Linked DNA regions of Coturnix japonica. The protein of the gene in region 2 interacts with the protein of the main gene of each other region in a pairwise test. Links are inferred from orthologs where the notes say so. Each region holds a gene or a part of one and is shown on either strand. Other genes may lie near its edges. The genes, in order: RABGGTB and WDR4.

What was found.
Region 1: the proteins of WDR4 (region 2) and RABGGTB interact in binary tests that used the Homo sapiens proteins (3 or more experiments, as listed by UniProt). The two-hybrid records come from large-scale screens. The link is inferred for Coturnix japonica from reciprocal best matches to the Homo sapiens genes WDR4 and RABGGTB.

What each region holds. Positions count from the first base shown.
Region 1 is NC_029523.1:26,855,640-26,859,554, forward strand, and holds the start of RABGGTB (geranylgeranyl transferase type-2 subunit beta), read left to right. Parts: upstream 1-1,189; 5' UTR 1,190-1,377; coding exon 1,378-1,380; intron 1,381-2,171; coding exon 2,172-2,279; intron 2,280-2,393; exon of another isoform or gene 2,394-2,476; intron 2,477-2,906; coding exon 2,907-3,104; intron 3,105-3,873; exon of another isoform or gene 3,874-3,915. UniProt on the Homo sapiens protein: Catalyzes the transfer of a geranylgeranyl moiety from geranylgeranyl diphosphate to both cysteines of Rab proteins with the C-terminal sequence -XXCC, -XCXC and -CCXX, such as RAB1A, RAB3A, RAB5A and RAB7A.
Region 2 is NC_029516.1:98,726,488-98,730,402, reverse strand, and holds the start of WDR4 (tRNA (guanine-N(7)-)-methyltransferase non-catalytic subunit WDR4), read left to right. Parts: upstream 1-1,401; 5' UTR 1,402-1,526; coding exon 1,527-1,642; intron 1,643-2,030; coding exon 2,031-2,093; intron 2,094-3,915. Other genes in the region: NDUFV3 (NADH dehydrogenase [ubiquinone] flavoprotein 3, mitochondrial), read right to left, coding at 988-1,069, 1,210-1,257. UniProt on the Homo sapiens protein: Non-catalytic component of the METTL1-WDR4 methyltransferase complex required for the formation of N(7)-methylguanine in a subset of RNA species, such as tRNAs, mRNAs and microRNAs (miRNAs).

The DNA.
Region 1 (3,915 bases), on a different chromosome or scaffold from region 2:
TCCACATGAACAGTTTGGTTCTAACGAGTGCAGTTTTGAGGTGAATCTCCCAGGTTCGCCCCTGTTGTCCCTTAGTGCTTTGATTTACAGAGATTTGAAGGCATGTGAACTGAACTTTGGATTAAACTAACTAGAAGACATGATCTAGGAATGCACCTGAGGTGCTCCAGCCCTTCTTTAGGGGTATGCAGTGTAACCCAAAGCCAAAAGCCACCAAAACGCCTTGTAGGTCTTGGATCCAACCGTTTTACGCTCCAATTCATTGGCACTGGTCTGCACTATTTTCTGAAGAAAGGCTTCTAAGAATCTCCTACAAGGAATGGCTGAGAAAGTTTGATTTCTTAAGTCTAGAGAAAGCTCTGAGGAGACCTTATAGCTGCCTTCCAGTGTTTAAAGAAGGCCTATGAAAATGATGGGGAGAGACTTTATCTGGGAGTGCAGTGACAGGACAACGTCACTGTCAATGTTTATAGGATTATATAGCCCTATGGTCTATGGATTATAGACTTGCACCTTATATGACCTATAGTCACAGGTCAATGTTTATAAATAAAAAAGGGGAGGTTTAGTGTGACAACCTGGTTAAGAACTGACGTACTTAGAAAAAACAAAACAAAACAAACTAACAAAAAAGAAGCACTTATTTTTGACTGTCCTTCACATGCTGGCATAATATACTGTTTCTGTTGGATACTCTTAAGATCCTGTTCCAATCCAGTATGATTTTGTCTCCCATATGGGTCTGAGTCAGTGTTCGTAATTCATAATACAGTCATATCGGTTTTAATTAGGAAGAAAAGTGGCTTTGTTGTTGCTCGTTCGTTGAAATAACAGAGTATTCCTCACCCGTCCTGTGCTAATTTAACTCTTAATTACTCTTAATTAAAAACTCTTAATTTGCTTTTCCTTAAAGACAACGTACAGAACCAGAAAGCTTTTCTAAACCGCTGCCGTGTTTACCACGACGCACAACAACACGCACTTTCCGACCGCACACGTTACGCGCGCACCCTCCCTTTCAATTCAGCGTTCGGCTGCGACGAGCCCGAGCGCCGCAGCCGCCGCAGGACCCAGGGCTGCCCAGCGCCCCGCCGGCCGCGGTGCGGCACAGAGGAGCGTCGCTCCAGGCCGTGCAGGCGGCGGCGGCCCGAGCTGTCCGAGCTGTCCGAGCTGTCCGAGCTGTCCGAGCTGTCCGAGCTGTCCGAGCTGTCCGACGGAGTCCCGTCCTGCTCACGGCTCGGTGTCGGGCCGGACGCGCGGGGCTGTGGGCGCAGCACCCGGCAGGCGGATCCCGGGCAGCCGCAGCGAGGCCCCGTCGGGCGCTACTTATTGCCGCGCCCCCCTGGTACCTCCCTCTTTCCGGGGCAGGCGGCGAAGATGGTAGGTGTGGTGTGGTGCTCCGCGTGGGGATGGCGGTGGACCAGGCCCATCCTGTGCTCCATCCCGTACTCCATCCTCCTTGTCCCAACCTCCGTGCTCGGTGGGTGCGGTGCCGGTGCACGCTGAGGGCCGCGATGACCGTAATGGCGCTAGTTCGAGGCCCTGTAGGCCCGGAGCTGTGTCTGCCGCTGTTCGGGGCTGGCTGCGGTCGGAGCCGAGTGCGGAGCGGCGAGGAGAACTTGCCGCGTTCGGCCTGTCCGCCCCGGCCGGGGCTGCGGCGGGTCCGGGAGCGCACAGCGGGCGCGGCCTCGTGGCGCGTGGTTGGGGCCCGTCGTGTTTGAGTGCGTCGGGGGAAACTTTGTTTTATTTAGCGTTACTTAAGAAACAAAACGCTACATATTCATACACATATTGTGTGCCTCCGGTGGCGCAGTGGTTAAGGACGCCACTTTGTAACACTGGAGGCCCGGGTTCGAATCCCCCTGTGGCGCAAGTGGTAGAAGTGCTGCTCTGCTACATGAGGCTCGAATCCCGGGGGTTGGACTCGATGATCTCTAAGGTCCCTTCCAACCCGCACAAGACTGTGATACTGTATGATACTGTGATATTCGTGCTCATTCGCTGGGTAGGATTTAGCCAAAGTACTAGTGAAGTATAGAACCTTGACATACACAGAGAAATGTCCGATTCAGAGCAGTCAGTTGCTGCAGCGAACATTGGTGGAGACGTTCGTGGCTGCTGGAACTTGCCGAGCTGTCTGTGTAGCTGATGCCTCGTTGGTGCTTTTACAGGGGACGCCACAGAAGGATGTTATAATAAAACCAGATGCTCCGAGCACGTTGCTTTCAGAGAAGCATGCGGACTACATAGCATCGTATGGAACAAAAAAAGACGATTACGTGGGTATCAGTTTTGCTTCAGCACAGCTGTGGTTTTATTAATGGTACTAGGAAAACTTACTTGTTCTGTGCAGTCCAAAGTATAAGAGGAGGAAGGCTTTGTTGATTTCTTTTGGTCTGTGATGGCTTTTGGCATGTATTATCTGAGCATAAATGTGAAGCTTATCATTTTAGCTCTAGAATTACTCTGAGACCTTGGAAATGAACTGCTAGTTATGCCTTCATCCTCCAGAATGCATGAGTAGAACTATAATCACATGTGGGTGCTTACTAGGCAGCACACTGAGGTGCATTGCAGCATTGCCCTGCGAGTACTGTGTGTAAGGAGTGCTTCTGACTGTTGTCACTTGTGTGGGTGTGATGGAGCACATGGCAAATGGATTTTATTTGGTGAGAAGCATCGATAACTGTGTATTGGGGGGGGGGGGGGAATTTAGTATATGTAGGTATACGTGTACATACGTGTGTTTTTATGTGCACACATGCATAATACACAGAGTAAGGGTGACTAATACATTCTAAGTCATTTATGGGATTGAAAATATTTGATGTTACAAACTGTGTTTCCGTTGTTGTACTTCAATGGCATCTTTATCTGATGATGAACTAAAATAATGCACTTCTTAGGAGTACTGTATGTCTGAGTATTTGAGGATGAGTGGTGTTTACTGGGGGCTGACAGCAATGGATCTTATGGGACAGCTGCACCGAATGAACAAAGAAGAAATTCTGGCATTTATCAAATCGTGTCAACATGAATGTGGTGGAATAAGTGCCAGCACAGGTCACGATCCTCATCTTCTGTATACCCTGAGTGCTGTCCAGGTAAAACTGATGTAGAAACAGCCATTTGTGAATAATGATATTGATGAAAGCAGATATCACTTCTAATGTTCATTTAATGATGAATTTGCTTTCTTGATAAATTTTATAACACTCCTCTTGAAATATTTCTTAGCTATAGCATTTACTGGAATTTTGCACAATCCTGAACTTCGTAAACTTTTCTTGGTATATATGTTCAGAGTAATTTTATATGTGCACGTGCTCCAGAAACTTGATTCATATTAATAAATACGCATATGTGTATGCAATTACTATGTACCGTAACTGTAATATTAGATAAATACGTGGTTTATATTAGTGTGTGTTCAGCGTGTTTACATTCTACTATCATACAAATGGAACATCATAGTAGCCAGTTCTTGTTATGTTCCTCAAATTTCTTTTATTTTTGTAAACTTAAAGTAATATCAATCTCCTAATCATTTCTTTATTTGATGTTTACTCCTTCCCTGAGAAAAATGAAGTATTTTCAATTGTATGTTTTCATCATAGCTGTCTCCAATGTAGATTTAATGTTTCACCATCTAGTCTGTTTTTATCCTAGTTCTTGCACAAACTGGGGTGGAAAATAACATGGAGAGACTGAAATGCTTCTAAAGAGTTGCTTAATTGATTACAAAGTGTATCTCTTCTTGAAGCTCGTGGAAGAAATACTTAAATGGTGTTACAAATAAATTAGGTTTTAAGAAGGAAATGTTGGATCTAAGGTGTTGGGTTTGAAATATTCAGACAGGAAAATGTTTTCTTGGGTCAGTGATGATTGTTGGCATGTATTATCTGATCTAAAGGT
Region 2 (3,915 bases):
TCCTATCTCCACTTCCCATTTTAGTTTGAAATCTCTTCATTAAAAAACCTTAGGAGGCTTTTTGATGCTTTTGAGCCTGTCTGTGTTTCTTCTCCCTCACAGAGGCTCCAGAAGTAGATCAACAGCAAATACAGTTTTTGTTAGAGAAAACAGGAGGGCAAAAAGGACTGAAAGCACATACATATATATGCATGGTTTGGAAGCACAGACCTACTTCACCGGACTGTAACGTAGACTGCAGTTTTTTCTCCTTCCTAATGCTCAATGTATGTATGCATACATACATTGTATGACCTAAGGAGTTCCTGTAAGTAGCTCTGAATAGAAGCAAGCCTTTAACAACATTGAGATAAAAATATCATGGAAGAGACAGATACATCTAATTAAAAGCCAAAAATAGAAAAACAGAGCTCTTAAAATAAATGCAAATAATATAGAATATACTATCAGTTTACTATTCAGGTAATACTTTCAGAGAATTTCAGACATGCAATTTGCTGGACTAAAGGTAGAGGGTGGGGAAAGAGGATGGGGGAAGCAAGAGAATTGGCAATCACATTTGAAGGACATCTGACTCCCTGACAGTGAAACACAGAAGCCTTTATAATTGAATATTTGAGAAAGCATCCCTCCAGGCTAAAGAAGTCTTCAAAGAACTGCTGAGGAAGAACTCAAGAATGCCCGAAGGAAAGACATATAAGCAAAGCCTAAGAATAAGCTGAAGTATTAGTACTAAAGATGTCTTAAGAAATTAAGAATGCAGATAGCATTCAACTTGAGCATTACAAGGAAGCGTTGCTGGAAAAATACTTTAATCAATTGTATTTGGATACGTGGAAAAGACACATTTCTACTCATAACCATGAGCTTACACAAACTAAGCATAACCATACGCAGGAAAAGCAGGTGGTTGACAGAGGTAGATAAGCCTCCTGGCACCTTCTGAAATCAAAAAGCTGCAAGAAAATCAACTTTGAAGCATCTTACTGGTCACCGGCGGCGTCCCGGAGCCTCCTGGCCGGGTGCACAGCGTCGCCCCTCGGAGCCCCCAGACCTCCGGCCTCACTGCCTGTAAAACACAGCCATTAAGCCTTCAGCCCTTCGCCCGGGACCTCTCCGAGGCACGGAGCAGCCGGATCGGCCGCTCCGTGCCTCGGAGAGGTCCCGGGCCGAGGTTCTTTGGAGCTGGGAGAGCTGTAAGACCCCCACCTTGCGGGCAGCCGCCCACCCGCACCACAGCAGTGAGGGCGCCGCCATCTTGTCGTCCTCCTCCTCCTCAAGCCCCGTGCTGCCCTCTATCAGCAATACCTTCTGTTTGGCTTTTTTCTTCCCCCCTCTCCCCCCTTTTTTAAAAAATCTATTTATTTATTTATTTAATTATTTATTTATTCTCTCTTCCAGCGATCCTTTCAATTTATTTATTTATTTCCTTATTTATATTGATCGCGTTGCTCTTTTTCAGTACGTCATCATCGTCTCGTCACCTGTGGTGACGTCCACACTCTGCGCCCTCTCTCGCACGTGGAATGGAGGGCGGATGGGGACGCGGCCCCGGGCCCGGCCCGGCTTTAGCTCTCAAGGGAACGTTGATGGCTGTCGGAGGTGGGAGCCGGCTGATGGCGGTGCGGAGAGGGGAGCACAGGTCAGTGTGTGCCGGGTGGGTTGGGGCTGCCCTCCGGTTTGGTTCCTTGGGAAGGGACTTAACGAGTGTAGTGACAGGACGAGGGGGAGCGGCTTTAAGCAGAGAGAGGGGGAGATTTAGCTTAGTTATAAGGAAGGATTTATTCCCTGTTCTTCCCTCTGAGGGCAGTGAGGCGCTGGCACAGCTGCCCGTAGAAGCTGTGGTGCCCCATCCCTGCAGGTGCTCAAGGCCAGGTTGGATGGGGCCCTGGGCAGCCTGAGCTGGTGGGTGGCAGCCCTGCCCACAATTTGGCTTCTTTATGTTCTGAAAGAGTTGACATGTTCTATAGTTAAGGCCATGTTTGTTCCAGTTCTAGTGGTTTTATTCTGTTGTTTTTCCTTATTTGCAGGGATGATGCTCTCTTTGTGTATGACTGTGCCAATGTGGAAAAGAAGGCCTCAGGAAATAAAGGGTGAGAAAATAAGTGTAGATATATGGTGTTTTCCTTGATGGCGTATCTGACCCTGAGGTTGTGTGGCTATTAAAGTAATAAACCCATGAGACTGCTCCTTGAACGGGTGATGGGCAGATGCTCATTGCTAGCCCTGATGGATGTGTAGATTTGCACCTGCATGTATCAGTACAGGTTAGATGATGATCATCTGGAGAGGAGCTCTACAGAGAAGGACATAGATATTCTGGGATTCAACGGGTTGGCCATAAGCCAGCAGTGTGCTTTTGTGGCCAAGAAGGCCAGTAATATCAAGGGGCACACTAAAAGAGCATGGTCATCAGGTCAAGGGAGGTGCTCCTCCCCTTCTATTCTTCTCTTGTGAGGCCTCATTTAGCATACCGTATCAAGTTCTGGGCTCCCCAGCTCAAAAAAGACAGGGATCCCCAAGGAGGAGTCCAGTGGAGGGCCACAAAAATGATGAAAGGCTCAGAGCATGTTCTGCTTGAGGAAAGGCTGTGTAACCTGCATCTGTTCATCCTGGGGAGAAGAAAACTGAGAGGGGATCTGGTAAATGTTTATAAATATCTAAAGGGCTCTGGAAGGCAAATGGGTGAGACCAGGCTCTTCTCAGTGGTGTGTAGCAATAGGACAAGGAATAATGGCCTAAAACTTCAGCATGGAAAGTTCAGAACTAACACGCGCAGGGATGTCTGTATGGTAAAGAAGATGGAGCACTGGAACAGGCTGCCCATGGAAGTCATGTAGCCTCTTTCTACGCAGATATTGAAAACCCTTGCTGGACGCCTACCTGTGTAACCTGTTGTAGGGTACCTGCTTTGGCTGGGGGTTGGACTCAATGATCTTTTGAGGTCCCTTCCAACCCCTGCGATTCTGTGATATATGTCAATGTATATGTATTTTTTAGTTTCATCTCAGAAAAAACACTACATCTTTTATTAGAGGAACTAAGAAATGAAAGCAAGACAAAACAAAAACCAACCAAACAGATACAGTCTTCACAGAATCACAGAACTGCAGGGGTTGGAAGGGACTACTAGAGATCATCCAGTCCAACTTCCCCCTACTGAAAGCAGGTTCCCTACAGTAGGTCACACAGAAAAACATCCAGGTGGGTCTTGAATATCTCCAGAGGAGACTCCACAGCCTCTCTGGGCAGCTTGTTCCAGTGCTGTATCTCCCTAACAGTAAAGAATTACTTGTTACTTGTCTGTAACCATACGCTTTGCTTGAGTGCTCTTCTTATGAACTTTTGTGGAGGTCCCTGTACCGTGCACCATCTAGAAGTAAGCAGTACGGAAAACAGGATTCCTGTCTTAATTTGAGTTCACCAAAGTTCTGTGTCTTGTTTGTGCTGGTTAGTTTTAATAAAGAATAATTTCTCATATGCAGATACTGATGCAGGGTTTAGTCAGTGCACACTCTGTGCGCTGTCCTTGATCATGAAGTTGAGACGTCTGCAAAGCTGTAAATGTATTCCTGGATGTTTAAATTCTAACCTCTTGAGTCGAGAAGAAGAGTTTATCTTATTTATTATTATCTTAGTGGAGAATGTGAGGAAGATGAGCTTGTTTTGTCTATGCAGAAGGTCAGGACAAGGCACAAGAGGAAAGCTTTTTCGCTGTAGAAACAGGGCACAGAGAGGTTGCAGAGTCTCATTCTTAGAGATATTTGAGATTTCACTACACATAACCTGAGCAGCTTGCTCTAATTTGAATAGAATTGTAGTACACTAACGAACTGAATTATTCTGTTATTTGTGCGACGTGCCTCTGTGGGTCTTTGTGTAGAATATTAGCTGTGGCATATGAAAGTTGTTTGG